Linked DNA regions of Lytechinus pictus. The protein of the gene in region 1 purifies or fractionates together with the protein of each later gene. This does not show direct contact. Links are inferred from orthologs where the notes say so. Each region holds a gene or a part of one and is shown on either strand. Other genes may lie near its edges.

The links.
Region 2: the proteins of histone deacetylase complex subunit SAP30L-like (region 1) and paired amphipathic helix protein Sin3a-like purify together in Homo sapiens (affinity purification with western blotting; 4 studies listed by BioGRID and IntAct, with this or other methods). This does not show direct contact. The link is inferred for Lytechinus pictus from reciprocal best matches to the Homo sapiens genes SAP30L and SIN3A.

What each region holds. Positions count from the first base shown.
Region 1 is NW_026974140.1:19,460,865-19,477,196, reverse strand, and holds the start of histone deacetylase complex subunit SAP30L-like, read right to left. Parts: upstream 6,733-16,332; coding exon 6,460-6,732; intron 6,105-6,459; coding exon 5,976-6,104; intron 4,860-5,975; coding exon 4,761-4,859; intron 2,376-4,760; coding exon 2,259-2,375; 3' UTR 1-2,258.
Region 2 is NC_087247.1:13,908,388-13,924,567, reverse strand, and holds the start of paired amphipathic helix protein Sin3a-like, read right to left. Parts: upstream 11,676-16,180; 5' UTR 11,576-11,675; intron 11,351-11,575; exon of another isoform or gene 11,266-11,350; intron 11,161-11,265; exon of another isoform or gene 11,072-11,160; intron 4,284-11,071; 5' UTR 4,230-4,283; coding exon 4,039-4,229; intron 2,840-4,038; coding exon 2,704-2,839; intron 887-2,703; coding exon 678-886; intron 1-677. UniProt on the Homo sapiens protein: Acts as a transcriptional repressor. Corepressor for REST. Interacts with MXI1 to repress MYC responsive genes and antagonize MYC oncogenic activities. Also interacts with MXD1-MAX heterodimers to repress transcription by tethering SIN3A to DNA.

The DNA.
Region 1 (16,332 bases):
ATTTTCTCTCATCATTTGATCTCAGATTAGTAAATGCATAAAAAAAACTTTTCATGACATTTATTTTTGTTGTTTTTATTCAGAGGCTCATGGGTTCAAATGGAAATAATTTCTTTCAGCAAGAGATTCATCTCAACTTCCAGACTGAAGTGAATGGGTACCCAGACAAGGCTGGGGCAACAATAATAATAATGTGTCTCAGAATAGATTTTTAACTAAACAATTTGAACTTAATGCCTATGATTACACAACTTGCTACTACATGAATATATATTGCATGCCAAAATTTGTGAAAAGTTCTTCATGTCTCTGTGAAATTTATCATTCTATTGTAAAGAATGGTTATGGGAATCTTCAAAAGCTGCATGTCAATATTGATTTTTTTTTTTAATATATGAAAAAAACCTGGGGTGGTATTCTGAAAATTGTCCTAACTTTTCTTGTAACTTTTCTTGTAAGTCAGCAAGATAACAGCTCGCTAAAATTATCTTAAATCAGTATTCTGAAAATTGTCTCATCTCTGTAAGGACTTCCCCTATTTTATCTCCGACATGCCTAATATTTTGTCATCAACCAATCAAACTTTTTATATGCTTCGGTCAACCAATAGAAGCATCCCTTCTAAAAAAATAATTAAGCGCATTGTTGACATGCGGCGTAATTTCCTTTGCGCCACCGACGCTTATGCCTGTACACTACTATGCTAAAATCGGCTAAAATACACGTGGCTTTTCTCAGAGTCATATTTTCTCTGAAAAGATTCATCATCTCGAATGCCAATTTTCAATTGCTGAAGTCTACCAATCCGTTGTTATAACGTCTTTGTAATGTCTCCTTTTATAAAACATGATGTTCTTGCGGGATGCAGGAAGAAATTGTTATTGCTGACCGAGAAATATCGCATTCAACATTAAGTTACAATAGCCCCCTACCTCTTGTAAATTTTCTTGTATTTTGCAAGGAAGTTAACAGAACGCAAAGAATTTTCAGAATACCTTTTATCTCGATATGTTATCTTGCGCACAGAGATCTATGCGCCGTTCTTAACTTTACGCATCATTGTAACTCTGACGTCATAAGCGCTTAGTGAAAGTTACAAGAAAAGATACAAGAGTTTTCAGAATACGGATTTTATTGTAACTCTAAAGATACAAGATTATTTCTCTTAAGACAATTTTCAGAATACACCCCCTGATCTTAGAGGGCGCTTGACACTCCAGAAAACAATCAATATTGAGGAACAAAAATTATTGCAAATACACAATGAGAAGCTATTTACAAACAGCTACATAAATAGAAGCAATTACTTTACAATTTGAAAAACAGTATTTACAATAAACAAAGAATAGATTGAAATTATCTTTACATGGTAAGTATGACTTAAGAGTCGTGCATAAATGCCGACATGGACATGATATAAATAGAGCAAACTTAACACAAAAGCTCACATCATTATAGCATGATTTGACCAGTGCAATGATTCCTTTCATACTGCGTGCAAAAAACGAATTCAGTGCGATTCTAAATCACACTTAAATCTTTGTGAAACATTCCCCAAGTTATGCTTTTGGCAGGACTTTGAAATATCAAGCAGTGAAAATTGAGATTCTCACATGGATGATTTCGCTTTACAGCTGTCATATAATCATGATGGATCTATATCTAGATGATGTTGATATTCGCGTAGGGGGGGGGCATTGCAGAAGGTCTGTGTTCAGTTCCCATTCAGGCGTAAGTCCCAAAATCAAACATAAATCCTTTGTTCAATAGAAAATTCATAGTTGATTTGCATTCCATTGCAACTCAAAATTATGCTTGATTTTGGGTCTTATGCTTCATTTGCAAATGAATGTAAGCTTCCTGCAAAACCTCATTGGTCTATTACCAGTTGGTCAACCTCCCAGTTGGTCTAATTCTCAGCTTGCCCGGCTGTACAACTAGGGCTTATCCTTTTTGCCCATAACCAGTTGCCTGATCATGTAGACTAGTGGATTTAAATTATAAACCAAGTAAGTTAAATGGTATGTTCACATTAAAAATTACGCAAAAATTTAATGGTCTATTAAAATGACAATTAAATTGAATATCTAGTAGAAAAGCTGGTTAAAAAAGTGGATTAGACCAAGTGGACTGAGACCAAAAGAGGTATGTTTTTATCATTATTAGGATAGACAGATTGGGATTAGACCATTCCACAATTCACCTCTATGTGCACTGGTCTAGACAGGCTATACACGTACGTATTGGTTTTATGATTTCTAGCTGTGGTCATGTTTTTGGTCAAAGCGACTCTTATTATTCTTAACCATGTAGATAAAATAAGTCAGAGCTTCTTTTTCTCTCACTGGAATGGTCCTGAAATGCCTGGCAACCATCTGTAAAATGATTAAAGGGATACAAAAAACAATTATAATTATGACCGCATATTTTTGTAAAGATATCCTATCTTGCTTAACATTGATTAATACAGGAAAAATTATCTACTAAAAAAAACCAATTGCATTTGAATGAAAGCAGGACACAGGACAAGTGCTAGCATTGCGTCCCCTCCAACAGTTGAAACGCAGTGCCAGTATGACATACGGTAGTTGCCCAACCAGAATCTGAAACTGGGAGTCTGCAATGAAATCATGCCCTATTAACACCAGAAGGTTTACAAGATTAGACTAGGGTTTGTTTTTCTTCCTTAATTCTTCCTTTTTCACCTTCTCTTTTTTTCTTTTTTTTTTGCTGCCATCCTGAAAGTTGATCCCGGGGTAGGGGAGATCGGGGTTAGTTGGAACGCGGGGTAAGTTGAAACATTGTAATTTTCTTTAACCCTATCTTAACTGGGCTATTTCGGACCAGTATATACTGGGGCCTCAGATCTCGGCCACTGATTGCGCAATCGCCGCGAAAATTTGCCGGATTTAAACTACTTTGAGTGTATAGTAAAATTTTCAATTTTTTTTATTTTTTATTTTTTATTAATTATGCAAATAAGCATATGAAATTTGCCATAAATTTGTTTTTTTGTGTATGTATTTGCCTTTAACTCAATTTATATAGCTAGTAGAATGCAAATTTTTGGTGGGAGTATCAATTATAACATTTCTAACAAATATCTACAAACAAATAGCAAAAATATAATTAATTTCTTATGTATTTTATGTTTTTTTAATTCTTATGTATTTCTTTGTTTTTTATTGTTTTTCCCAATGAACTTTGTCGAGGACCCTTTTGTGATCATAAATAGCATAAAATAAATCCATTTAAACCAACAAAACTAAAAATAATCATACACTTATGATTTTTGGTCGAAAAACACAATTTGCATTGATTTTTTACACGGAATCACGTTTTTGAGCAATTTCTGGTCTGACATGCACTTACAAAACGTTGCGTAATTTTGGTCTCAAAAGATAAGCAAGACTTGAAAGTAAAAAGTCAGTGAGCGGCGTAGTCAAAAAAATTTGTGCGACGGCGTAGTGACAAAATTTGTTGAGGGGGGGGGGATCAAACTGACCCCCCCCCCCAGTTTAATAAGGGTTAACGCCTGTAAAATAAATTTATGCAACACTGCCCACAATTTATTGCTATTAATAATATAAAAGTGTTGTACCATTAATAGCAATAAATTGAGGGCAGTATTGCATAAATTCATTTTACAGGCGTTAAAGAAAATTACACAATGTTTCAACTTTACCCCACGCTCCAACTAACCGCGATCTCCCCTACATGCCCACTTCCCCCATCCTGAGCTATGTCACTGCTGACCATGGCAAAAAAATCATATAAATACCTCTCTCAAAGGGGTTTGTAGGATCGTTACTATTTCTACAAAGTAACCCCCCCCCCCCCACACACAAAAATAAAAACTAATGAAGTCCTTTTCCATGTGTTAACCCTAAATAGACTGGGCTATTTCGACGCCTAAGAAGACTGGGGGGGGGGGCTGATTCAGCCCCCCCTTATGATCTCGGCCGTCGACCGCGCGATCGCGACGAAAATTGGCACACGCGTTACCCATGGCATTATCAACAAAACTATAATATCAAATTCTGCAAAAAATCTCATTGCTCATTAATTATGCTAATTTATGCGTAAAATCATAAGTTTGCTCTAATTAATAAAATAATGCCCCTAAAATGGTAATTTTTGTTTCACATACTCTAGATAGGCATCTGATCAAATTTATTTTTAAAAAATTTCAACATCACATTTATTTTCTTATGTATTCTATTGTTTTCTAAATTTCTTATGTATTTCTTTGTTTTTTGACTTTTTGTTTTTTATTGTTTTTCAATGGAAATTATCGGGGACTTTATTTTTACCATTAAAAAGATAAAATTAATTGATTTTAAGCAGTAAAAGGAAAAATAATGATACATTTATGAATTTTGGCTAAAAACACTATTTGCATTGGATTTGTACACAAATTTACGTTTTTGAGTAATTTTGGGTCTGCATGCACTTACAAAATGTTGCGTAATTTCGGAACCGCGTACCCGGGGGTCACAATTTTGGTCTCGAAAGTCGCGCGAGACTTGAAAGTAAAAAGTCAGCAAGTGACACGGTCAAAAACTTTCAAGCGGCGGATTTATCGCGAAAAATGTCGAGGGGGGGGCTGAATCAGCCCCCCCCCCCCAGTCTTTTTAGGGTTAAGAATATCAATTTTCATTAGAAAACTGCTTCTTAAAATGGATTCTACAACAAAATAGTGCTGCGGCAAGAAATAAACATACCCCCACCCATAATTTGTGATAGTTCCTTGAACTTACATCAGCAAGTTGTGCCTTGTTGAGCCCTGGTTTGGTCTGAATCTTATAATGTCTCTTGTATCTTCTTAAAGTATTCACTTGTAAATGAAACAAATCAACCTGTAGAGAAAGAAAATAGTCAGTGACATTCATGACATTTTTCAGTAAATGTTACAAACGTACAGTATGGTATGGGTTTATAGTTTATCTCCCTTGAAGCTTCGGGTATTTCAAGAGCAATTGGGTTTCATGTTTTAATGAACTCTATCAATAGAGCAGTTCCAAGGTAATGGAGAGATATTCAGAAACAAATTTTAGCATTCAAACAAAGATATCACCCATATTTAAATAGTTATTTTCAAAGAAATGGTACCTGACAGTAGTTGATGAAGCCCACTTTAAAAATAATAACATTTGTTATTTTGATCCACTGAATTTATGAGATATGAATATTCATAAACATGGTTACAGAGTGACGCAAAATGGACATGCATATTTGAGGAGAAAACATATTGCTCAAACTCTGTGAACTTTAAATGGCTATCACAATTTTGAGTTATTGATTGGATTCTATGTTGTTCTAGCTTTAATATGCTGCATTACATTAAAAATTGGTGTATTTTTTCAGTAATTACAACTTCAAACATAAACCCATATTCGGTTACGGAGTGACATCTGAAATATTCACCCACAGGCAACGTAAAATGAACTTATATTTAAAAAACTTTCTTTTGATATGATGTAAAATGATGACCTTCAGATTATCCAAAAGAAAATTTTACAAAACAAGCAATAGTTTTCCGCTAAATTGAAATTAAGGAAAAAAAACATTCATAGTCCCATGTATAGAATTTTTTGTATGGTTTGGATTCTCCTATAAGGAGATGCGTAAGAAAAAAATTTGTGTCTAATTATGTTCCCCTTTTGTATTTATGAAATCCCATATGAGTTTTGATAGAAAAATTTGATCCAGAATTAAAATAGAGCCAAAATAAATTTTTGGAAAATTTCCACTTTTGCTTGGAATTGCCCAATACTTGTGTTCCCGGGGAAACTGCAAGTATATCACACTTGTATACAACTAAGGATCTAAGATTTTTTTTTAAAGGAAAGGCCTATCAGTCTTTATTGTTGGGATATATAAAATAAAAAAAAATAAATAAAAAATTCTTATTTCTGAGTCATCATGATAAATAAATTGGTGAATGATTGAAAAATGATTCACAAAGAAAATACCTCTGGTACATCAAGATCATGATCTGGAGATATTCCACCATCTTCATCACTTCCTTTCTTCCTCTTCTTGGTACTACGAACACTTTGTATCATAGACTTGTGAAAGTCACAGATATAGATATGCCTCACCTGTTTAAAAATACCATGAAGATAGATAATGATTATTTTAAAAAAATCACCAATATCAAAGAAACAGTGTACTTCTATGACTTTCATGATCACCTAATTATGGCAATGACAACTTCATGAAGTTAATACATCTGAAAAAAGATGATGCTGAAAAAAGATACAGTCACTGCTCACAAGAGAGAGATTGGCACTCACTGACAAGCAAGTAAAAAGATAAAGAGCTCTAATAAGGTTAATTATAAATTATTTCACAAAATTACATAAATATAAATGGTTTCTCACAAATATAATTCTTTCAAGAACATGTTCACCTCTCAATATTGTCATTTGGAAGTTGATGTATGTGCATACTCACACTGTGATCAATAGTCAGTTTTAATTTCCTCTGTTGAACTGTCTTAGCAATACGTTTACTATAGCATGCATTCCCTGCAGGTCTTGAACAGCGCTGACCATCGTCCACCAAACAACATATCTGACCATGTCCGGAGTCACGACTGTCATCCTCTGTTGTACTAAAGCCATTCATCTTGCGCTGCGATGATGTTGAAGACGACAATTTTGTCGTCGAAGGATTCATGCTCGATTTCATTGAGCTAGATTTAAATGGGCTGCTTTTCTCTTTCATTCTGGTATGGACAAAAGATAAGAAAAAAATTACCAATCCAGGCACTGTTCATGAATATATTTGCCTACATGATACATACATAGAGGAAAACTAGAATGTCACTGGTCGTCTTCATTTAATGTTTTGTTGAGGGGAAAAAAAACTTCTTGGAAAACATTTTACTAGATTTTAAACAGGGAAAATAAATATTAGATTACCAACTGTCACTTTTCAAATACACACAAATTCTAGATTGCTATTTGAGCAAAATGATAATGGATAATTCTTTAGAATAAAAGTTAATACAGAGATACCATTTACATGCATCATGATGCATGTGTTTGATAAGACTTGCATATTAAAGATATACATGTATTCATGCCTATGTTTGACAGTACAACACTCAAGAGTAAAATAGTTAAACTAAAGAAATGTAGTGAAGTTTCTCTGATCTCTGTGAATCAATAATGTCACATGGATAAACTCATATATGGTAACAAATCTGCATTTATCTTTTTATTGGAGACTTGGAGTGCATAATAAATGATGAATTAAACAAAATGTGTGACAATTTCCATTTTTGTCACTGCCATGATCTTACGTACTGTTTTGTACATCTATCTGAGTTTGCTATGCACTATTTATTTACTTTACTATTATGAGTGTGTGTCTATACAGAGATTTTTTTTAAAGTCCACATAACCTGAGAACAATACAAATCTTTTATTCTCTTTCAATCATTTCATATTTACAATGATAGAACAATTTATATATTACCACAAATCAATTAGCAAAGTAAAATAACAGCAAACAAGATTTACATACAAGATGTACAAAGTGAAAGTAACCTAGTGGTAGTGGCTGCAGAATTAATATTTTAGAAGTTTGTTTTATTCATTTTTAATTAATGTTTTTCTTTATATTTTTCGGGCCACCAAAAAAAATTATGTTATATTTTCAATTATGGTTATGAATACTTTCATTTCTTATGAAGATTGAAATGAATATTTTAGGAATTAATTAATGGTATACAAAATCGACCTCTACATGAAAACACAATAGATTGAATTGTATTTATATTAAAAATATGCAGGGTTTTTTTAAGAGACTTGAGTTTGAATGACTGTGGAAATCTGAGTATGTATTAATCTAATTATTATTGTTCATTTTTTATACCTAGATTCTCATTTTTGCACTGTTTGAATCACTTGTTTACTGCAACCACCCTGCCTGTGGGGAATCTACAGGTTGGACTATGGCATGCCAATGCTGTACAGAGCACACACTTTAAAAAATATCACTTTTGTGACCAAAATTACTTATTTCCGTACAGTTGCAATTTATTTTTCATTAGTAACTTGGGAATAATTTTTGTATTCACTAGAGCGCTCAAAAACTTGAATTTTGGGCATATTTTTGTGTACGCCCTCTATTGGTGGAAAATAATATTTTTAATTAAGAAAAAAATAATTTAAAGAATCAAATTTACTTAAAGGGCCAAGTTGTATGACGAATAGGTGTAATGGAAACTGTCAGTGTAAAAAAATCAAGCACTTGTCCCAAAGAAAAAGAGAAAATAAGCCAAACATTGCCATCCTTATTTTGCCACACATGGAGATTTAACCGAGAACAAGGTTATATCCACTCATTCAATGAACAAGGTTATGATATAACCTTGTTCACTGAATGAGTGGTTTGAATAATCTTTGTCTTTGAATTAATTTCTTGCACATATTTTAGTTCCCGTGCAAGTCTGTTGATACGTACATTACAGAATACGAATTGCAATTCCAAATTACTTAGAATCTTCATTAAAATTATAAAAGAAGTTTAAATAAATGCTAATCTTGCACTGAATTCAGTCAACCAACAACAGGCAAGAACTTGAACTTGTCACCATGTCCATGGCCATGCCCATGGCATGGCATGGACTTCTCGACTTGGTCCACTCACACAACATGCGATGTTACTAAACTATTTTTTATTGACTTGGTCTTGGTCACTGCACTGATCAGTATATGGTATCATTTTAAACTTTAAAATATCAAATTATGGAATGGTCTGTGTGCAAATAAATGTGGCAAAATCGTGATATAGGCCCCGCTCGAGAAAAACTTGTAATCGATTATACTACCTCAATATCTAGGTTGCTAACTTCAGCTCACTATATATACTCGTGATATAGGCCCCGCTGCTGTGTTGAATGGCTTAGAATGTCCGTTTGCGGGGCCTGTTTCACGAGTAAAGTACTATAATCGTTATATAGGCCCCGCACTACGGCACTTCAGACACTCCAACACAGTAGCGGGGCCTATATCACGAGTATATATTAAGCTTGCATCCTAAGATAGTCGCGAAACTGGCCCCGTCCAATGCGCTTGTCCCAGCATTCGCACGTGTGTGGGGCTCGGATGACGGCTATAGTAGTATACTCGTTATCGAGGTCCCTTACGCTGTTATATAATGGAAAATAACGTGGTCGTGGGGCTTGTTTCCCCGGCCGGTGAGAATTATCATGGGCGGCGCTGTAGGGGGGAGGGGGGGGGCTTCAGTTTATTTTCCAAATAAACAAGGAAAGAATATCATGGGCGGCGCTGTAGGAGGCAGGGGGGGGGCTCCAATTTATTTTCCAAATAAACATTAAGGAGAGATAATAATTTACTTCTTCAGAAATTTATTTGTCGATTTATTTATATTTATTCATTAATCATTTGATTTATTTGTTTTCAGTTTTTTTTTCTTTTGTGATGTAGAGAGTCAGAGGTATCAATTGGTTTTTAATTATTTTTATGTTTAAAATTACATTTATTTATTTATCAACCTATATATTTTAATTGTTTAATTAATGTATTTATATTTATTCATTAATCATTTAATTCATTTGTTTTCAGTTAATTTTTTTTTGTGATATAGAGAATCAGAGTTATGATTCGTTTTTAATTCTTTTTATTTGTGGAAGTTCATTTAATTTATTTATCAATCTATTTTAATTGATTAATTAATGTATTTATATTTATTTATTAATCATTTAATTTATTTGTTATCAGTTTTTTCCTGTGATATAGACAGCCAGAGGTATCATTCGATTTTAATTCTTTTTATGTGTGGAAGTTCATTTATTTATTTATTATCTATTCATTTATTTATCATATTTTCATCTTTTTGTTATCTGAAGTCTTATGTTGATACAGGGCCATACATTTCATTTATTTTTCATTTATTTTTATTCATTCTGTAAGTTATAATGGCTATACAAAATGAAGACGGCACTCATTGTAAAGCTTAGAATATCTTCTCTTTCACCTGGTATCCTCAGAAGATTCCTCGATCATTCAGGCATGAATGACTTTGAAAATTTGAAGAAAGTATAATCTGAATTAAAAAATTATCGTTTACCTTCTTTGAATTAGTCGTAGTTGAACTTGGGGTGTTATAACCTTATTTTTCGTTACATAAAAGGAATTTATATTTTGTTTAAAGGTCAAGTTCACCCCAGAAAAAATGTTGATTTGAATAAATAGAGATATATCAAACTAGCATAACGCTGGAAATTTCATCTAAATCGGATGTAAAATAAGAAAGTTGTGATATTTTAAAGTTTCGCTTATTTTTCACAAAAAAAGTAATATAGGCCCTATATGCACAACTCATTTACGTGCAAATGATACAGTTCCGGCCTCGCTATTTTTTTTTTTTTTATTATACAATATTTCATTTTTCACATTTTTTACAATAAGGGCCAACGTGAATGAACCATATGTTCAGGGAGAAATTGTTTCACTTGACAATGAGAAGAAAATGGGAAAATATCATATTTCATATAATACAATACTAAAGAAATAGTGAGTGGATGGCATCATCAGTTTCCTCATTTGCATATCGACCTGGATGTGCATATGTAACTATTATTTCAAATTAAGCTAAACTTCAAAATGTTATAACTTTCTTATTTTATCTGATTTTGATGAAATTTTCAGCGTTATGAACGTTTTTTTTTCCTCTTTATATTCAAATCAACTTTTTTGTTGGGGTGGACTTGGCCTTTAAATTAAACAATTGATGTATTTGTTTGTATTAAACTTTTTTGTCTTATTTGATGTTAGACCAACCATTATTGTTAATTTCTCTTTTTACTTATGGATTTTATCTCTCTGTATACCATATATTATTATATATATAACAAAATATATTTTGTTACCTCACTGAAGCCAATACGTGAAACGTTAGAGAGAGAGAGAGAGAGAGAGAGAGTGGGAGAGAGAGGCCTAATGCATCACTATTTCAAGTTCTCCAGTCAGTCCGCAAGCCCCTGTGTTAATGAGCAAATGAGCAAGATTTATCCAAGTCCTCACGTGGCTGAATTCATGTCCCTGCAAAATCTCGTGAATTGTGAGACTTTCTTTCTCAAAGAATTTAACCACTTTTTCCTTGAGTAATATTGATTATTTTTGTACCATGGGCAAGAGTAAATGTTACCCTTTTATATTGGTCATTTCTTTTGAATGAAATATTTTGATAAATAAGTGAATTTTTTACCTGAAAAGATGCATCAAACAGAATTTTCTTCCTCTGTTTTCACTTGCAAATTGTGCAACATTTTGTGTTTTAGGCACCAACATTATTTATATCATCAGAAAGCTCAAACTCTGTACTTTCTTACAATGTCACTCTTGATATGTGGCATCTTTTAGATGGGTCAGCAGCCAGTTATTTCCATCAAGATGCAAGACGAGATTTCTGAAATTTCTGAGTAACATAAAATCCAGAGTTCTGATTGGCTGAATACTGTTTTCAAAACAAACAGGCGCGGGTAATTTGAAGAGATTACCACATGGTGAGTGTGACCTTGCAGAGGCCCAGTGTGGGGATCATTGGAATTTGCGTGGGTGTGTGGTCTATGACCAATCAGAGCGCAGTATTCTTGTTTTTGAGCTGCAAAATGTACTTGGCCTATGAAAAGCTGGCTGCTGACCCATCTAAAATACATCTTCTTATAAAAATTATATCATATTAAAGCTTAGATCTTCAGCTTTATCATGATTTAAAAATCATTTGTGCCTAAACAGAAATTAAGTGTAAAAATAACAACTTTTGTTGCATGAAAAAAAATATTTTGTTTCATGTTTTAGATCAAAAGTTTTTCCTATATTACAACATTCTTTTAAGAATCCAAACACATGACCTAAAAGAATGATTCTTCTTCTTTACAAAAATACCAAAAACATGAAATTTTGTCGATATTTAGAGCAGCAGTGGCCGAATAAAAAGAGGTGTTTTGGTTCGCACCAAGCTCATTAACTATGCAAAAACCCTCTTGTCATGAATATCACTTGGATAAAAGAAGCTACTTTTTCAGGGCTTGCGGACTGACTGTCTCCTTCGTATTGTTTCACTTATTCATTTCCTGGTTTATTCATATATTCATTTATTCGTTCATGTTTGCACTGTTTTGGGAAAAAATGTTGTCTATTAATTGACACGAATGGCCTACCCTTAAAGGGGGCAGTTTACCCTGACGCAAAGTTGATGATAATTAAAGCAGAAACTGGAAAAAATATTCTTAAAGGTTTGCTGAAAATATATTTTTTTAATTGTCACGCATTTTGGTTAAGAAGTTCGATATTCTCTAATCAAATATTTCCATTCTCACACTTTAATTAGTGTTTATTATGTTAAATTGTATTCTACTCATAAATGTAATGAATTCCTTGCTAAGATCAATTGTGAATGTCATTTTCACTTGCCCAGTAACCTGCACAATCAAGGTACTAATGGATAATTTGTTTTTCTGTTCCAATCATGAAGAAGCGAAATCGGAAATCAGCCCCGTAGTTTGGTTTTTTAAAACACAAAAACGAAATCACAACGAGAAAAACGTGTTGTGATTTGGCATTTGTATATAAAAAAAACAATGAAATTAGAAATACTTTTGTGCTTTATCTGGTTTCTCATTCTAAATTTGTGTTTATATATATAAAAAAAAACAATATCAGAACATGCCACGATTCGTGACCTCACTGTCAACTAAGTAATATGTACGATGCAACTGCATGACAAACAGCGCCTAAAGAATTGTTGGATGTCGCCTAGCAACAGGGTGCTATGTTAGTGGTAATTAAACTACATGTAAATCAATGTAAAATAATGATATTTACAGATGAAGTAAAGTGTTGAACAAGATGCCCCCGCCTCTCTCACTCCTACATGTCAGCAGTGCTTAAAAACATACCCTTTTCGTGTCGATATATATCAACAAACTTCATCTCGAACTTCGATCGCATTCGCATCCTATTTTCAAGTGTGAAAAAAATTCAGCTCGCGCTCCTCTTTCATATCCTGTTCATGCGTCACTGTAAAGTCCTTTTTCCATTTTCAGTTTAGTAATTAAATATTAAATAAACGTTAGCTGTTTGGGTTAAAGAGAGCTTAGTGTGCTCCATTGATAGCTTTTAACACATGGATTATAATTTTTTTTTAATGTTCAGTTATCTCGTTTAGTTCGGCCGTATAATCATGGTAAGCATATCTTGTTGGTAAAAATTAAAGTAAAATGTACATTAACTTCCATAGCACGACCCCCCCCCCCCCCCCCCAAAAAAAAAAAAAAAAACTTTTACCTCTTCCTCTTTGACTGGCCAACTATGGATTTCATGAATGGCAATGTGTCCGACCAGCCTGTATCCATGCACGCCCCTTTAAAAATACTGAACCCGTACCTGTGTGTATATTTTTTTCCTGACGCATTCAACCAGACAGACCTCTGTACCACCAACTGTCTTCTCAAATTTGCGCCCCCCCCCCCCCGCTACGAAATCTCGGATCTGGGGGACACATTAAACTCCTGAAATACTATATCACAGAAAGGGAAATAGTAGAATAATTCGTGCATAAAAATAAATTATAAGAATACATTGAGACACTTTTTCCGAAATTATTAAATCTTTTAATAAAAACGGGAAATCGGGGGGGGGGGGGGAGGGCAAGGGTGTATGAATTAGTAAATAAATGAATACCATATAGGCGAAGAAAAAATGCAATATTTGGATGGTGAATTAATGAAATGACGATCGATCAATATTTTTTTTGACGAAATTTTCGGCATTATGCTCAGTGAATTCTACTCTATTTATTAAGCGATAAATACTTTCAACCCGGACCATCCCTTTCAGTTTTAAAATGAATGCAGGATGAGAAAATACTCAGTAGGTTAGCTGAAGAAATACTGGCATATCAATAAACGGTATTGTAAGCTTTTTAAAAAACAAAAGATTAATAAATTGTGTTAAGGTAAAAAAAAAAAAAACGTACTTTGAAAGTACATGGTTGTAGGGCCTACTTTTATACGCAAAATGAATAATATACATATAATCTCAAATTGTGGGGACTGGGGGGGGGGGGTAAGTCTCAGTAAAATATAGATTAATTTAAATATCCCTCAAGCAATAATGAAATTGACCCAAAGAAAATTAATAAATCTTCCCCGAATGAATATACCTATTCGTTTTGTTTTTTTATCTTAAGTGGATGAAAAGTGGGGAGCCAGGGGAAGGCATTTATGAAAGGAATGAAAAAAAAAACCAAATTGATAACACACAGGAAGCCAGATGAGTGATTCAATATTGAATAAGAGAAGAAAACCGATTTGAAAAAAAAATATTGACTACTTACATCCAGGTGATTATAAATAGATATATGATACATGAATGAATAAATGGATTCATTCGCAGCATTACTTCAAGTGAAAGATTGGGAGAAAATCATACAAGAACTATGTAATTTGATTATTGATGACACCTCCCTCCCCGCAAAAAAAATAATTAAAATGAAATGCTGGGGGGGGGGGGGGCTCCAATTTATTTTCCAAAAACAAGGGGAATAATAATGAACTTCCACACATGAAAATAATTAAAAACGAATAATAACTCGATCTGACTCTCTATATCACAAAAGAAAAAAAACTGAAAACAAATAAATTAAATGATTAATGAATAAATAAATGATTAATAAATAAATATAAAATACATTAATCAATCAATTAAAATAGATGGATAAATAAATAAACGAAATTTCACACATAAAATAATTAAAAACGAATGATACCTCTGACTCTCTACATCACAAAATAAAAAAACTGAAAACAAATACATTTAATGATTAATGAATAAATATAAGTACGTTTATCAAACAATATAAATACATATTAATTAATCAATTAAAATAATAGATTGATAGATAAATAAACAAAATTTCACACACAAAAATAATTAAAGGAGAATGAAACCCTTGAAACCAGCTAAATCCATATCAAAGAGAAAAATCAAAGAAACATATTGTTGAAAGTTTGAGGAAGATTGAATGAATAATAAGAAAGTTATGAGCATTTGAATATTGAGATCACTAATGCCATGCAGATCTTCCTATTGGCAATGCGACCAAGATCTGTGATGTCACACACGTACAACTCCCTCATTACTTTAGTACTTATTTCACTTATATTCTCACTTTTATAGAGTCTATCACAAGGTGAGGTGTTCTCTTTATATGAGAGGACAAGTTCAGAGGTTTCACAACATTATATCATTGATGAATCGTTTGTCATATGATTAGAATGAGCAAAAAGAGATGTTTTGAGGTATATTTTCAGTGTCCAAAAGGGGAGAGTTGTTCATCTGTGACATCATAGATCTTGGTCGCATTGCCAATGGGAGGATCTCCATAGCATTAGTGATCTCGACATTCAAATGCTCATAACTCTTCTATTGCTAGTCCTATTTTACTCAAACTTTTGTTGATCTTATTTTTTTATTTTTCTGCTTTCACAAAAGCTAACTTGCTCCAAGAGTTTCATTCTCCTTTAAAAACAAATGATACCTCTGACTCTCTACATCACAAAGAAAAAAAAAAACGAAAACAAATAAATTGAATGATTAATGAATAAATATAAATACATTTATTAATCAATATAAATTAATCAATTAAAATAGATTGAAATAAATGAACTTCCGCACATAAAAATGATTAAAAACGAATGATACCTCTGACTCTCTATATCACAAAAGAAAAAAAAACACTGAAAACAATAAATTAAATGATTAATGAATACATTAATTAATCAATACAAATAGATTGATAAATAAATGAATAAGTTAATAACTGTATTAATACATAAATCAATCGACAAATAAATTTCCGAAGAAGTAAATTATCATTCTCTCTCCTTGTTTTTTTTTAAAATAAATTGGAGCCCCTCCCCACCCCCTACAGCACCGCCCATGATATTCTTTCCTTGTTTATTTGGAAAATAAATTGGAGCCCCTCCCCCGCCCCCTAAGCGCCGCCCATGATATTCTTTCCTTGTTTATTTGGAAAATAAATTGGAGCCCCTCCCCGCCCCCTACAGCGCCGCCCATGATATTCTTTCCTTGTTTATTTGGAAAATAAATTGAAGGCCCCCCCCTCCCCCCTACAGCGCCGCCCATGATCATTTTATTTTCCATTATATAACAGCGTAAGGGGCCTCGATAGCGAGTATACTATAGCCATCATCCGAGCCCCACACACGTGCGAATGCTGGGACAAGCGCATTGGACGGGGCCAGTTTCGCGACTATCTTAGGATGCA
Region 2 (16,180 bases), on another chromosome or scaffold:
AGGATGTTCAGTAATACTTGATTAACCTTATGGCCAAGTTTCATGAACTAGGTCCATATACTTTCTAAGTTATGCTGTCATTTCAAAAACTTAACCTCAGGTTAAGATTTGGTGTTGACGCCGCCGTCGCCGCCGCCGTCGGAAAAGCGGCGCCTATAGTCTCACTCTGCTATGCAGGTGAGACAAAAAATGAGAGTAAGTTGAACAAAAACTCGAAAAAAGGACGGACATGACCTCAAATCAATTGACCTTTTGACCCCATCATCCTTATGAACACACATATGGCATTACCCAAGGATCATTTGTACCAAGTGTAAACACAATTGATGCAAAAAAAAAGAAGAAATAATTGCAAGTTGACATTAAAAAAAAAAAAATTTGTGAAAGTGATTACTGGGTCTCTTCCCCGCTTGTTCAGGTGAGACAAAAAATTGCAATTCTTTAGGTCAGACATAAATAGCAAGGACTTATTAAATAGTTTGATTAATTGTTATACACTAATTAATTCAAACCTTTAAAATTTATTTGTTTTTAATAGTGCCGTTTTCCTTTCTTTCACAAGTACATCTTTCCATCCATAATAATTGAACAATCCAAAATTATTAGACATTACTCAAGCAACTCAACCCTCAATACACAGAGAGAAATAGTACTAAATACTGTAATTCTAAACTTACCTTTGTGATTTGAATTCTTTCATGATGTCAAGGAAGTCATTATAGACTTGAGGTTGGCTTCCAAACTGAAGCTTGACCTGGTCGAGATATGACAAAGCATCCTCAACTTTCAGCCTCTGATATTGTTGTTGCTGCTGCTGCTGTTGTTGTTGTTGCTGCTGCTGTTGTTGTTGCTGCTGCTGTTGGCCTTGTACCTGAGCAACTTGTGCCTTGAATAATTTAAATAACAGATAAATACATTTTAATATGGTACAAAGCAAAATTTACAATGCTTGGGTATTCCTTGGGCATTCCAAAGCGTATGGGATATTACATTCAATATTCTAGTAAACTACATATAACTCTTGCTTTAACCAGGGCTCTGTAAAATAACAAGTGGAATGCCTCTGGCCGTCTCACCTGCATCACGCGATTCAATATAGCAGCAGTACTGATTTTGAAAACTACTATAACTCGCACAAGATGTTCAGTGATACATGTACTTGGTTACTCTTATTTCCACGTTTTATGAACTAGACCAATACACTTATAGAGATATGATGGCAATTCAACAAATACCCCCAACGTGGCCAAAGTTCTTTGACCTTACATGACCTTTGACCTTGATCATGTGACCTGAAACTCGCACAGGATGTTCAGTGATACTTGATTACTATTATGTCCAAGTTTTATGAACTAGACCAACACACTTTCAAATTTATGGCTGTAATTCAACAAATACCCCAATTTGGCCAAAGTTCATTGACCCTAAATGACCTTTGACCTTGATCATGTGACCTGAAACTTGCACAGGATGTTCAGTAATACTTGATTACTATTATGTCCAAGTTTCATGAATCAGATCCATAAACTTTCAAAGTTATGATGGTAATTCAACAGATACCCCCAATTCGGCCAAAGTTCATTGACCCTAAATGACCTTTGACCTTGGTCATGTGACGTGAAACTCATGCAGGATGTTCAGTGATACTTGATTAACCTTATGTATAAGTTTCATGAACTAGGTCCATATATTTTCTAAGTTATGATGACATTTCAAAAACTTAACCTTAGGTTAAGATTTTGATGTTGATTCCCCCAACATGGTCTAAGTTCATTGACCCTAAATGACCTTTGACCTTGGTCATGTGACATGAAACTCAGGCAGGATGTTCAGTAATACTTGATTAACCTTATGGCCAAGTTTCATGAACTAGGTCCATATACTTTCTAAGTTATGCTGTCATTTCAAAAACTTAACCTCAGGTTAAGATTTGGTGTTGACGCCGCCGCCGCCGTCGCCGTCGGAAAAGCGGCGCCTATAGTCTCACTCTGCTATGCAGGTGAGACAAAAATTGCAATCAACTGCTAAACACCAATGACTAATCAAGATCATCATTGCACACTTTGATTCAACCGCTGACCATGAACCAATCAGGGTTTTATTTTGAATTCAGCTTAAGCTTTCATGTACTGTAACAACTATGGAAATGTTGCCTTGTTGCATCCCCCCAAAAAAAGAGAGAGAGGGGGAAAATAAGCTTATCTGATGAGTCCCAACCCCCTTCCATCCCCCCCAAAAATGTGTCGATATATGGACATTGCAGGGGAGCATTTCTTGAAAAGACAATATCCAACAAATTTTGCTTCATCTGACAGTTACCTGAGTAGCAGTCACACCTGAGCTTCTCAACAAATCAACATCAAGATTTCAAATGTTGATGACAAGCTTTTCAAAATGACAAAAAAGCTTCTTTCACACAGCATCCTAACAAGAGTATACAAAGCCTGCTTTTACAAATTTTGCTCATTCTCTTGAAGACGAGAACATACTTGTCAAAACATCAAGTCTGAGTTGTCCTTGTCAGGACCAACATTGGCCCACGAAAAAATACATGGTGTACCATGAAACCAATACACCCTTTCTTCTTTGCCATGAAAACCTTCAGAAGATACAGGAACATTCTCTTCAAAAAGTAGCTATGTCATTCATACAAATACATGTTCCATAATTTTTTAGGAGACACAAGAAAGCAGTTGAAAGTACCTGTGACTGTGCTTGAGCCTGATGGATGGTTTGTTGGTGAGTTGCAGCCTGTTGGGATGCAGCGTGTGGATGGGGATGGTTTGGTGGATGGTGTACCCCACCGTGATGGCTGACAGGCTGACCTACTGGTGGCACACTAGGGACATAGATGCATGAATAAAAAACATTGTCAACCGGAAGCAGTGTCATCTACATTCAGTGAAACTTTTTTTTCAAGGGCATGATGCTTGCTAATTCACTTTCACTACAAATCTCCCTTTAAATTTGGTTGTTGAAGGGATGGTCCGGGCTGAAAGTATTTATAGCTTAATATTAATAAATAGAGTAGAATTCACTGAGCAAAATGCCGAAAATTTCATCAAAATTGGATAACAATTTTAAAGTTTAGCAATATTTTGTGAAAACAGTCGTCATGAATATTCATTAGGTGGGCTGATGATGTCACATCCCCACTTGTTCTTTTGTATTTTATTATATGAAATTAGGTTTATTCAATTATTTACATGAACTAGAAAAATTGGATTGACAACTGATTTAGTGCATTAGATATTTATTGCTGCAACTTATTTCATTATAAGGGAGACATATTATTCACACAAGTATGAAATAATGAAAAAATTATGATTTTATGTAATAACATAAGAAAACGGGAAGGGGAGATGTGACATCATCGGCCCGCCTATTCATGACGACTGTTTTCACAAAATATTGCTAAACTTTAAACTTCAATAACTTAATTATTTGTTATCCGATTTTGATGAAATTGTCAGCATTTTGCTCAGTGAATTCTACTCTATGTATTAAGATGTAAAAATTTTCAGCCCTGACCATCCCTTTAAGTGGGTGGGCGATTGGACACAAAGATATCCCATCATTATCTGTCATGTTTTATTTCCATACAAAAATAAAGAAAATATATGAAAATAAAGAAATATTTCTTAATGGATAGCCCATTTTGGAATTTTATAAATGACGCTGTTCTTCCATAGGGCCCTAATAAAGGACCCCATGTATGAAGATCTAGTGAAGTTTTGGCATGGTTTCTTAATCAAACAGACACAGTGAAATAGTGGCATCTGGACTTAAACCTAAGTACTCTAAATATAAAAGACTTGTCAACACAAATAAGCACATGTGGGCCTTAACTAATATCACTTGAAAAGTGACAAAGAGCCATGCTTATTAATTGCCAATTACTAACTTTCTACTGGAATCATTTGACAGACGTTTTTCATTATCGTATATAAGCCCTGTGTGGGTCATTTTCTTAGATTCTGTTCAAATTTATTTATGACCTTTACCATTATGATTATGGAATTCAAGCTATAAACTTACGAATATCCAGGCATAGGTTGATAATGTAAACCACTGGCCATGTTCTCGGGTTGTACTGCCTGCTCGAAGACGGGGACAGATGAAGGCAATGGGATACGTTGGCTGCCAATTACCCTCTCAACAGGCACCGTTGTATTGACTCGCTGCTGCGGGAATGCACTCTCCTGAGGTTCCGCACCAGAGCGTTTCATTATGTTGAAGCGACAACCAGAGGACGATTATTAGGAGTCCTCTCTGATAAGAATCTGATTGGACAGCAATGGAAGACATGTACAACTGTAAGTTTCCTTTCTATTGAATGGACACATGTAGTTCATGACATTTTATTAAAAACATTGGAGAAGAATAATAAATACACAACTTAACCCAAAACATTTAAAAAACTTATATTTGGGAATTCACAATATGATAGAATGTTAGAATTACAAGTATTGCTTCAAAGTGTCAATGCCCTCTAGGCCTCTACATTAACTGATTGCAAAAAGAAAAACATGACTGTGCACATGCAATGAGAATACAACATTCGGTCCCATAAATTCAAGCACGAAATTCCTGCTTTGTACTATTATTTTCAAAACTCAACTTGGCTGATCAAGGGTTGGAAATAAGAGATCATGTAAAAAATTTGATATATATCTATATAGGAAAATAAAGTCATAAACTTGGTTGATAATATCTAGTCTTCTGCGACACTGATTACAAGTATCTTATGGATTTCTTTATTTTAACAATCCACCTGTCACTGCCAAAAAATCCTGGATGGTAAAAAAAAAAAAAAGTGGAACGACTGGCGGTCTCGCCTGTAATACGCGATTCAATATAGCAGCAGTGCTAACTTAATAATTATTCACAAAAAACACCATTCATATGACAATAAAATACTATGTTCACTGATCCTACAGGTAAATGATCTTTGACCTTGATCACATGACCAAAAACTCGTGCAAAACAATCAGTGACACACAGTCTTAATCACCTCTATGTCCATGTTTCATGAACTAGATCCATAAACTTTCAAAGTTATGATGGCAATTTAGCAAATACCCCCATTATTGCCAGAGTTCATTGACCTTAAATGACCTTGGTCATGTGACCTGAAATTCATACAGAATGTTCAGTCATACTTGAGAACTCTTTTGTCTAACGACTTTAAGTTTCATGAACTAGATCCATATACTTTCAAATTTATGATGGCAATTCAACAAATACTCCTACCGTTCATTGACCTTAAATGACATTTAACTTTGGTCATGTGACCTAAAACTAACGCAAGATGCTAAGCAGGCGAGAAAAAACGGGATGACTCAGGCATACTACAATGTACAGATAGCTCAGAATAAGGGTATTAAAATCCCATTCTGATGGGGATAAATTGTAGTTGGCTGCCTTCTTTTATAAATAAAAAAATATGATTTGTGGTCTTGCAGTCATGTAATTTGAGAGAAACCTTTGAACTCGTCCAAGTTTGATTACACTTTTTGAAGAAGCGAAAATTGAAATCAACATTGAATGGTAAGGCAAAAAATTCAATGCTGCACCCAAGTGACCCTTTTCAAACCTGCAGACTGCAGACATTTTCTACTCAAATTTGACCCCCCCCCCCGAAAAAAAAAATCATTGTTTTGCTTCTTTTTTTTAATGGCGAATAAAATTGCTCCAAGCAGCTACTTGCGGCCACCCGAAATGTTGTAAAACTGGTAGAGTAATGTTTGGAATGGGCAAGATAGGCTACTAATTATAAGTTTTGACTTGGGCCTACACATGTCCATGTAGCTTAATGGTCAATAAAAATAACAAGAATGAAGAATCTTTTAAGGAAAACATTTAGATCACTAATTCTATGTAGATCCTTCTAATGGCAAATATGACCAAGATCTGCGATGTCATAACTTCCCAATTACCTAATGTACATGGAAGTACAATTTCACGTCAATTTTCTCTTATATCAGGTCTCTCGCAAAATTAGGCGTTTTTATTTTTTTAAGTGGCATGTACATGTACATGTGTAGGTTTGAAAACATATCACAGAAGAATTGTTTAGTCAGAACTTAAAGGTCAAGTCCACTGAATATTTCAATTTTTACATATTTCATTTGGCAATAAGAACCCTCTTGTTTGAACTACAAAATGTGAAAACAATGGTAATTACACATTCAGGGAGGAATAAATCATTATTTTGCATGGCAATGAGGAGAAAATAAGCATATTTACATTTCATTTCAAGAAATACCAAAGAAATACTAGTAGTGAGTGGATGACGTCATCGGTCTCCTTATTCGCATACCGATCAAGATTTGAATATGACTGTTTTGTGAAATTAAGCAAAACTTTAACCGTCATAACTTTATTTTACATCCGATTTGATAAAATTTTCGGTATTATGCTCGTTTGATTTTTCTCTTTTTATTCAAACCAATATTTTGTTGTGGTGGACTTGTCCTTTATATCTTAAGAGATGATTTGGTGTATATTTGCAATGTCCAAAAGCCTGAACATGTTTGAAATCACAGTTCTTGCTCACCTAGCTAATTGATCATGGGAAGATTGCAGTATTTCCACAACATTGGTGAAAATGACATTCAAATGCTCATAAGTCTGAACATTCTTCTTGTCCAATTTTACACAAACTTTTGTTGAGCTTATTCTTTGATTTTTATGCTTTCACACAAGCTAATTTTCCTTTAAATTGGAAATCTAAACCAATAAAAAGCTGGTTTGAATAAGACCAAATGAATAATACTGAAAATTCCATCAAAACTGAATGGAAAATATGAAAGTTATGGCATTTTAAAATTTCACTTATTTTCAATAAACTGGTTCTGCAGTGTCTGCACATCAAAGTGACATACACATTATTGTCAATTTGGCACACTTACAATTTCGTTTGTATTTCATTGTTTTAGACTATAACAATATTTCATTGATTTGAACAGAAACTCTTCATTCAATACAATCTAAATTCCTCCTGGTTAGGAAGTAATAATTCTGTTTCACATTAAACTGAGACAATATACATACATGTATGGCATATTTCATATAATAAAATAGAAAAGAAATGAGAGTGGGTGACATTATTGGTTCCTAGTTCCCACATTTGCATATTGACCAGATGACAGATGTGCATTGTAATTTTGTACTGGGAAATTAAGTGAAACTTAATAATGTCATAACTTTCCTATTTTACATTTGTTTTGAGTGAAATTTATTATGCTTATTTGAGTTTTATTCTAAAAAATTATTTTTTTAAATAATAAATGGAAGTAACTTTATTTTCCTTTATTCTAAAATAAAATAATAAATTGTACTTGTAAGCAATTACATGCAAATGTACAGTGAAGTCATTGCCGCAAATGCACCATTATGTAGCACCACTGTAGCTCTGTAAGACTCATGAGAGATCATTGAAACTTGAAAGACCAGGAAAAGTCCATGGAAACTCGAAAGAATTCTGAAAGATCACTTGTTGCATAAAAGATCTCTGAAAGACAATTGAAAGATGTCTATATGACTAGTAAGACAAGAAGTATCAATCGGTCTTTCAGAGTTCTTTGAGTGGTCTTTTTGAGCCATTCCACAGAGATGACAAATTCAGTGATCTTGGAGATTGCTCTAAGACCTTGCCATTTTTTTGTCTTTCAAAGGTATTGTTTTAAAAATCTCCCCTCTGTGGAATGGGGGCTTAATTACTCTTAACAAGTGGAGCACCTCTGGCAGTCTCACCTGCATTAAGCGATTCAATATAGCAGCAGTGCTGACTTGAAAACTACTATAAAATGATTATTCACAAAAAGCACCATTCATATGATACAATACTACGTTCATTGACCCTAAATGATATTTGACATTGATCATGTGACCTAAGACTTGTCAGTGATACTTAAGACTTGTCAGTGATTACACCTATGTCCACATTTCACAAACTATCCATAAACTCTGTAAGTTATGACAGCAATTTGATAATTACCTCCAACGTGGCCAAAGTTCATTGACCTTAAAAGACCTTTGACTTTGGTCATGTGACCTGAAACTCGCACAAGATGTTCAGTGATACTTGATTACTCTTATGTCCAAGTTTTATGAACTAGATCCATACACTTTCAGAGTTACATGTATGATGGTAATTCAACTCCCACAAGATGTTCAGTGAAACTTGATTACACTTAAGTCCAAGTTATATCAATCAGATCCATAAACTTTCAAAGTTATGATGGTACATGTAATTCAACAAATACCCCCAACTTGGTCAAAGTTCATTGACCCTCAATGACCTATGACCTTTGACCTTGGTCATGTGACTTGAAACACAGGCTGGATGTTCAGTAATACTTGATTACCCTTTTGGCCAAGTTTCATGAACTAGGTCCATATACTTTTTTTTAAGTTATGCTGTCATTTCAAAAACTTAACCTTTGGTTAAGATTTGATGTTGACGCCGCTGCCATTGGAAAAGCGGCGCCTTTAGTTTCACTCTGCTATGCAGGTGAGACAAAAATAGCTTGACTGATTTAATCATTACAGATAGGCCTGCTAGTAAATGAATCTAAAATTTATATGATGAACATTGTCACTAATTAATCCTCAAAGGACAAGTCCACCCCAACAAAAAGTTGATTTGAATAAAAAGAGAAAAAATCCAACAAGCATAACACTGAAAATTTCATCAAAATCGGATGTAAAATAAGAAAGTTATAACATTTTAAAATTTCGCTTAATTTCACAAAACAGTAATATGCACATCCTGGCTGGTATGCAAATGAGGAGACTATGACGTCATCCACTCACTATTTCTTTTGTATTTTATTATATGAAATAGTCTAATTTACTCCTCATTGTCAAGTGATACAACTATTAATTCCTCCCTGTACATGTGGCATTAGCATTGTTTAATACTACATGTATGTTTCAGTCAAGTTCGTCCTTATTGTCAAATCTATAAAAAATGAAATATTGTATAATTCAAACAATAAAAAACAAAAGAAATAGTGAGTGATGGACATCATCGACTGACTCATTTACTGTAGTTGTGCATATCACTGTTTTGTGAAAAATAAGCGAAACTTTAAAATGTCATAACTTTCTTATTTTACATCCGATTTTGATGAAATTTTCAGCACTATGCTAGTTTGATTTTTCTAGAGCTATTTATTCAAGTCAGCATTTTCCTGGGGTGGACTTGACCTTTAAATGTATGTGTTAAATTTGATTGTGTTCAGTGTTGCATTCAAAAGATTTACAATATGTAAATACTGCATGTAGAAAAAAAATAATGGTGCAAACTCTAAACAAAAAAGAAAAAGAAATAAAGAAAGTGGCATCATCAACTTTGTTGAAAATTACCCACAAAAATTAAAAACATTCTGCCACACTCAACTCGGGCAACACAGCCAAATTTGGAAAATTCAAATTCCAGTTTGCTTCAAAAATCATGATTAATTTCTTTATGTAAGTTTGATCCTCCACCTACAGCAACACATCACAAAAAATACCTTGAGTTGTGACAGTTTATGGATGGGGCCCGTTGCAGAAAGAGTTGCGTTTAAACGCAAGCCAAAAAAAATCGCAAGTACCAAATGCGCGCTGTTCATTGGTTGAAAATCAAGTTGCGCGTGATTTTTAGAGTTGCGATTGATTGCAACTCTAAAAATCATGCACAACTTGATTTTCAACCAATGACATGAAACAATTATAATTTGCACCATTACACTCCAACATGCCTGTTCATGATGCAAACATTTCACAATTTCTGACTCAAGAATATTCACTTATAAGCTACATCCTTGATCCTCCAATTAGCAAAACCAGTTTAAGAATAAATAATTCCTGTGCTTACAATTTACATGTCATTTATTTCATATCCATACCATTCATTTGTTTTGTTACATGACATGTACATGTAAACTTTATGAGATTACAGTTACTCCTGAATGAGACTGAGGAATTCGGACATGACAATTGACAAATACAGGTAATCAGAAATAGCATAAACATAGCCTTTTTGGTGTGTTTACTTTAAGAGGGAATTCATAAAATGTCCATGGATAAACATGTATAATTCAAATGACATTGTCAATGGCATTGGCATGCATGACAATATAATATTTCATGCTTTGGAACTGAAAAATTCAACATAGGGTGTGCTTTCAGCCATGTTCCACCTCAAACAAAGCTAATAATAGTCCACCTCTGCTAGGTCAATACATTGTGTGCATACTACGAGGGACTACAACACATGGAAATCTGCAATGAATGCACAGACCCAATGACTCGCCGAAGCAAGTTGTTGCTGTGTCAAAAAATGGCTGACTGAAACTCTCCTTGGATGATCAGCATGAACCATTAAAAATAGGAAGACTGGCGATTTAAACCTAGCACGCAAAGCCAAAGCCGTCTAATCATCAAGAAAGAACATACAATTTTAATTTATATCTTAAAATATAAAAAAAAAGAACATGTAATTTTCTTTATCTTACATAAAAGGTGTCTTAACGAATAATAAAAGGGGGAAAAGAAAAAAAAGTTAAGACACATCCCACAACTACCACCCCAAAGACCCCTACACAAAAATGGTATCAGCCCATAAACAATATCTTTGAGATAACCAGGAAGCTGGCTGTTGTCAATCCACCGCACAAAAATCACAGAACTAAAGTGCTCACATAAACAAGAAATTAGACGATTCCATAGCAGACTTTGTGTGGTAAATTTGCAAAATGATCATGGTGATAAAAACAAATAGTAAATTAAATGATTTTGAATGCAAATATGGAATAAAACTGGCATATTCCCTTGGTTTTCTCTGAATAATCACATCGGTCGAAGTCAAAGGCAGACGCCACAATTCACCACGGCCTACACACAAGCACCGCATGATATGCACACAATAATGGGAACATAATTTAACGTGCAATGGCCAATCCGTTTTGGGGCGGACATTTGGAGCAGAATTATAATCTTCAGTATCATTCAATCTTCCAACGAATACCTACAAATCAAATATGAAAATGATGGAAAATAAACAAGGTCTATTACTTACAGAAATTGAAATGCTCAGATGAATTCCAACACACAAAATTTTACAATTTTCCAACACATACCATGTCAAACATCGCGCGAAGACAGTGCACAACCAACGCAGAACAAGTCGGACGTCGGGACATAATTCACGTCTTTTGTCACCAAAACTCGAAGAAAATGTATTCTCAGATTAACAAAATATATATAACTTACACTAAAGGTTCCGCAATACACAGTGATTAACATCCCCTATCCATCCACCTTTAAAATAACGTAAACATGAGGCTATCTGTGAAGAAACAACCATCAAAATTGCAGTCCCATACAACAACCTCACCAGCTGGGCAGTGCGAGACGCTTGACGATCAAAACATAGGGAGAGTTCGGGTCGAAATTTTCTATGGTCTCCGCTGTGAAAACCTTGCTAAAATATAAAAGATTATCATCCAACCTGCGATCAAAAGATTTGCCATACAATGCTAGAGAAAAGAACACTTCAACAAATAAACCTAGAGAGAATTACCAGTGAAATCAATCAGATGGTCCAGATTTCCTCGGATTTTACGTCCAAATCTACGGGTAAATCCACATCCTTATTTCGGGAAAGATACACTGTTATGCTTATTTGCATATAATACGTACGACCTATGGGCAGTAGTCTACGTCACAACGTTAATTCATTAAGTGACCAATGATGAGCTGCATACACGCGAACCCTGACAGGTGAAACGCGCGCCCTACGCCCACAATCCTTAACAAGCCAATGAAAATAGAATTTAGTTGATTGTAAGAAGTGTTTGAAGTTTGCGGCGCGAGGTTCTAAATTTTATCAATTTGTTGGAAGTTCTATGGAATTGGTGCTCGAAAAGTCTACTCCCACTTTACGGGAATGATTAGCCTAACGTATTCCTGAACGTAAACTGATCCTGGCAGAAATGCACAAGCTTGAACAATACATGGGTGTCTTTATTATTTATTCTGTGAATTATACAATTTTGAAAATTACCGAAATAACAGAAACTTCGATCGCATGTACCCGGTGTGTTGCATAGCAATTATTTACACTTAATTCAAATTTGGGTATATTAAAAGAAAGATGTTCATAACTCCAATCGTTTTGCTGTATATAGGCCTTCATGTATTTCTATCAATGCACACAGCTTCGAGTATTATTTCTTTCTCCTGATAATTTCTCTCTTCGCCATCAGAAGACGAAAAGATTGTTTATAGCCATGAAAGTCAGTATATCAAGAATGTGTGCCAATTACATGTATAAACCATAATTGTGAAATAAGTCATATAAATACAAAAAAAAATTATTGTGAAATAAGTGTAAAAAAAAAAGACTGATCATTATGGGAGGCTGTTTGTCATTGAAAAGTGGTATTAGGCCTAATCTACAATTGTCCAATATTTTCGGCGTGCCAAATTTTCTATTACATAATTTTGCATGGCAAAGGTGTGCAAAATAAATGAAAATTTTGTATTAGTATTTTTACTTTTTTTCATGCCAAGTTTAACAGCTCAGTATAGCTATTTTTCTTTTTCAAGTTTTCAAACTTATTGAGGGGCGAATCGATTTTCAGGGGGTGACAATCTTCTCCTGCCCCTCCAAGGCCTTTAGTCACTCTCTATTTTCTGCCTCAACTACACGTAAATTTGTATATTGTTTGTCTCCATAACCTTTTCTAAATTACATTTGTTAGCTTAATGTTGTTTCTGCGTATTGGAGAGGAATGTATAAATGATAAAATCTTGATTTTTAATCCGCTAGTTTGTGGAATATACACTCTTAAAACAAATCAGTCAAATTGACTGGACAAGTGGTCATAGCTGGGTGCAACTGATATGCTAGTCACATTTCTGACATATATTCTATACTCTATTCTAGTAAAATACGACAAGAAAATAGTCAAATAACGAGAATAACAGTGGCACCCAGCTGACCCTATTCACTATAGTCATTTTTTACTGATTTGTTTTTAGACTGTACGATACTTAGCCAAACTGATAATTTGGTGTAGCTGTAATTTCCTTTAACCAATTAGAACTCGATTTCATGATCTAGTAAATCAACAAGTACAGTTATTCCCTTAAAAAAATCATAAGATATATAGATAAAAACATACAAGGAGAAAAGTAAAATATAGTGGTAATTTTCCATCGGTTATATAGTTTTCAATTATGTTTGGAAACATTTATTTTGGTCAGAATCGTAACTGTTTGAAATTCGAAATGCAAGCATACAGAGACTTTTTGTTTTGTTAATTGTTATAACATTTGATTGTAACTCCAATTCAGACTTAGTGCATGTATGCATGTTCACATTTTCATTTTCGTTTTGGTAAATTTTGAAATGCACATGACTGTAGAATGTTTAGAATGTCACTTGAGCAAAACGTTGGCTTTTGACAGAATCTTTCATGGGGAGGGGGTGGGGTATGGGAAAGGGGATAAATCGTCTACAGCGCCTCCGTCTTGAATTTCGAAGTCCGCCGTGACACACCTCCTGAACCCCTGTTACATAATTTACACTGGCACCATATCGGATCATTTTCAAGCTACTTCTTTTGGTATATAACCTAGCCCCCAAAAATATTTGTCTGATTGTTTAGAAATTTATATCCCAGGTAGAAAAACTAGACTCCTCTAAAGACCCACTTAAGTTAACATATACGTTAATTCCATTGGGTCTTCAGAGGATCTGCATATATTAATTGCATATGTGCAACAGAACGAAAACGGACCGGAGATAGAACCTTCACTTTTGCATCCTCAATGGAATGGAACAATCTCCCTCTCACATTAAGACAAAGTCCCCAAAAGTTGAATCATTTAAGATGTTCATAAAAAACGTGTTTGTTCATTCATTCTGTATTTGTTTTTGCATGAATTAGGTAAACTTAAATTGTAAGCGCTTTGGGCCATTTGGGAAAAGCACGTTGGGTGTCATCATTATTATTATTACTATTATATTTTATCTCTCTGTGCATTGATATGAAAACGACATGAAGAATTTTTTTACGAGGCGTACAGTAGGCCAATCTTAATTCAGTATATAGAATATTAGAATTCCCCAAATGCTAAAGTAACACAATAAATGAAACCACAATGACAATTTTTAATGTAAATACCAGGGGTGGCGCCACCCCCATAAAAAAAGATGGGTGGGGGTGGGGATACGGATGAGTATCAAAATGAGCTCTGGGAGTGTAACTCTACATCAGACCCTGTAATTCAATTAAGGAAATGTAAAGCTGTAAAAATGGCAGTTAATCTCCTGCATATAGATGGCTAGTTAACTAAGAAAGGTTGTTACAAGATAATTTGAATTACTAGTATATCGGACTCATAAATCATAGATAGATCGTTGATATCGACGGGAAAGGCTCTCTCTTTTCCAAGTTAATGTAGCATGCCAATTTAACCTGTCATTTTTGCCTCCGTCAGTTCCTTAAGATTTGCCATATTCACCTCTGCCATTTCCATCTCTGCCTAACAACCACTTGATCTACTCTCAATTTGGACTAATTACTCTACAGCCCAACTAACTTACTCTCACTTAGTCAATCTATTAATAATTTACCCTTTGTCAAATCAAAATTTGGTTCATAAAATCAATATTTCATTTCATCATATGTGATGACACAAATGAAAAGGTAAGCAAGTTTCCACTTCTGAACAACAAAACCTTCACATTTTGAAAACTTACATCACAAGCTACACAAAAGCAGATACTAGAAACACTGTTTATGTGCATGTAAATCGAAAGAAAGTTTATTCCTTTTTGTAACAAGACACCAAGAGAACATGAATCCATCTTATAATTCGTTAACAATAAATACTTTATTATGACAATCATGAAAGAGTTAATGAATTCAGAACAATTAGCATCATATGATAAAATCTTGAAAAAAATCCCACTGGATAGAAAAGCAATAAAGTAAAAGAAAAGGTTTTAAGATTGGAGACATTATTATACAACATCTAAAGGCATGATATTGTACAATGGTACATGATCTCTTGAATTCAAAGAATTAATCAGTCTTTCAGGATCAAGAAAAAATTGCATAAAGTTTTTAAATAAGTGCATGTAAATTATGGCTTCTATTGCACAAAATAATAAGTTACATGTAACAGAATGTATGTAGAAAAAAAAGAACAATATCTGAACGGTATACAAAAACTGACAGTTCCAAAAGAAAATTTGATGCAAGATGATGATATAAGCATTACACATGTATGCTTTGATCCATGAATTTCATGAAAACATTACCATATTAAAAAAATTCAATGACAAATAAGCAACTCTTACAAATGAGCAACAGGGAATAATTTTCCTCGTATCGCATCGCAATTCGCTCCACATTTTTGAAAGACTGCTATGCATAAAGTCTTTTGAATAGCATATTTTTACATAGGACTGTACATTATAATAGTTGAGAGCTTTTCTCTTATGACCAAAAATGCTATTCAAATTTGTCCAGCAAAATTATTCCCTGAGCAATCATATCATTTAACCCCATTCTGATAAATCTCCTTAGATCCTCCCACCTAGTTTTCAAGCTCAATTGCATATACCACAGACTGTCACCTCTTGTTATTAGTGTTATATATGTATGCCATACAGACACTGATGCATGATGGCAAAAATCAATGCATCACAGTATTGCTAGCAGAATTGAAGATGGCAGTATACAATTTTAAGTAGTGTTAGTGTAATACCATTCCTCTAATAAGAAACCATGGATGAATAATAACTTAATACTCATATGAGTCATGACCAATATTTTGAACTGAATTTTGTGTAAAATGCCAGTCCAACAAATATATCATTTAAGTTTGAACAACAAAATGAAATCAAATATCCCCCAATTAAAATCAATTTCGTCAAGACCTGACAAAAAACAGAACAAACATGCATGCTTCATAAACCATGGTCTAAAACTCTGGTATAGTATGGGTTGAAAAATGTGGCAATAATCTCTTTTCAATATTCATCTGATTACGCAAACTTCTCAGTATAAAAACATTTAAAAAATATATAAAAACTAACAGTGTGAAAGGTTTGGGGCATTTTTATCTACCTGTAATCACTAGCACATATTACAAATCTACATTTTAAAGT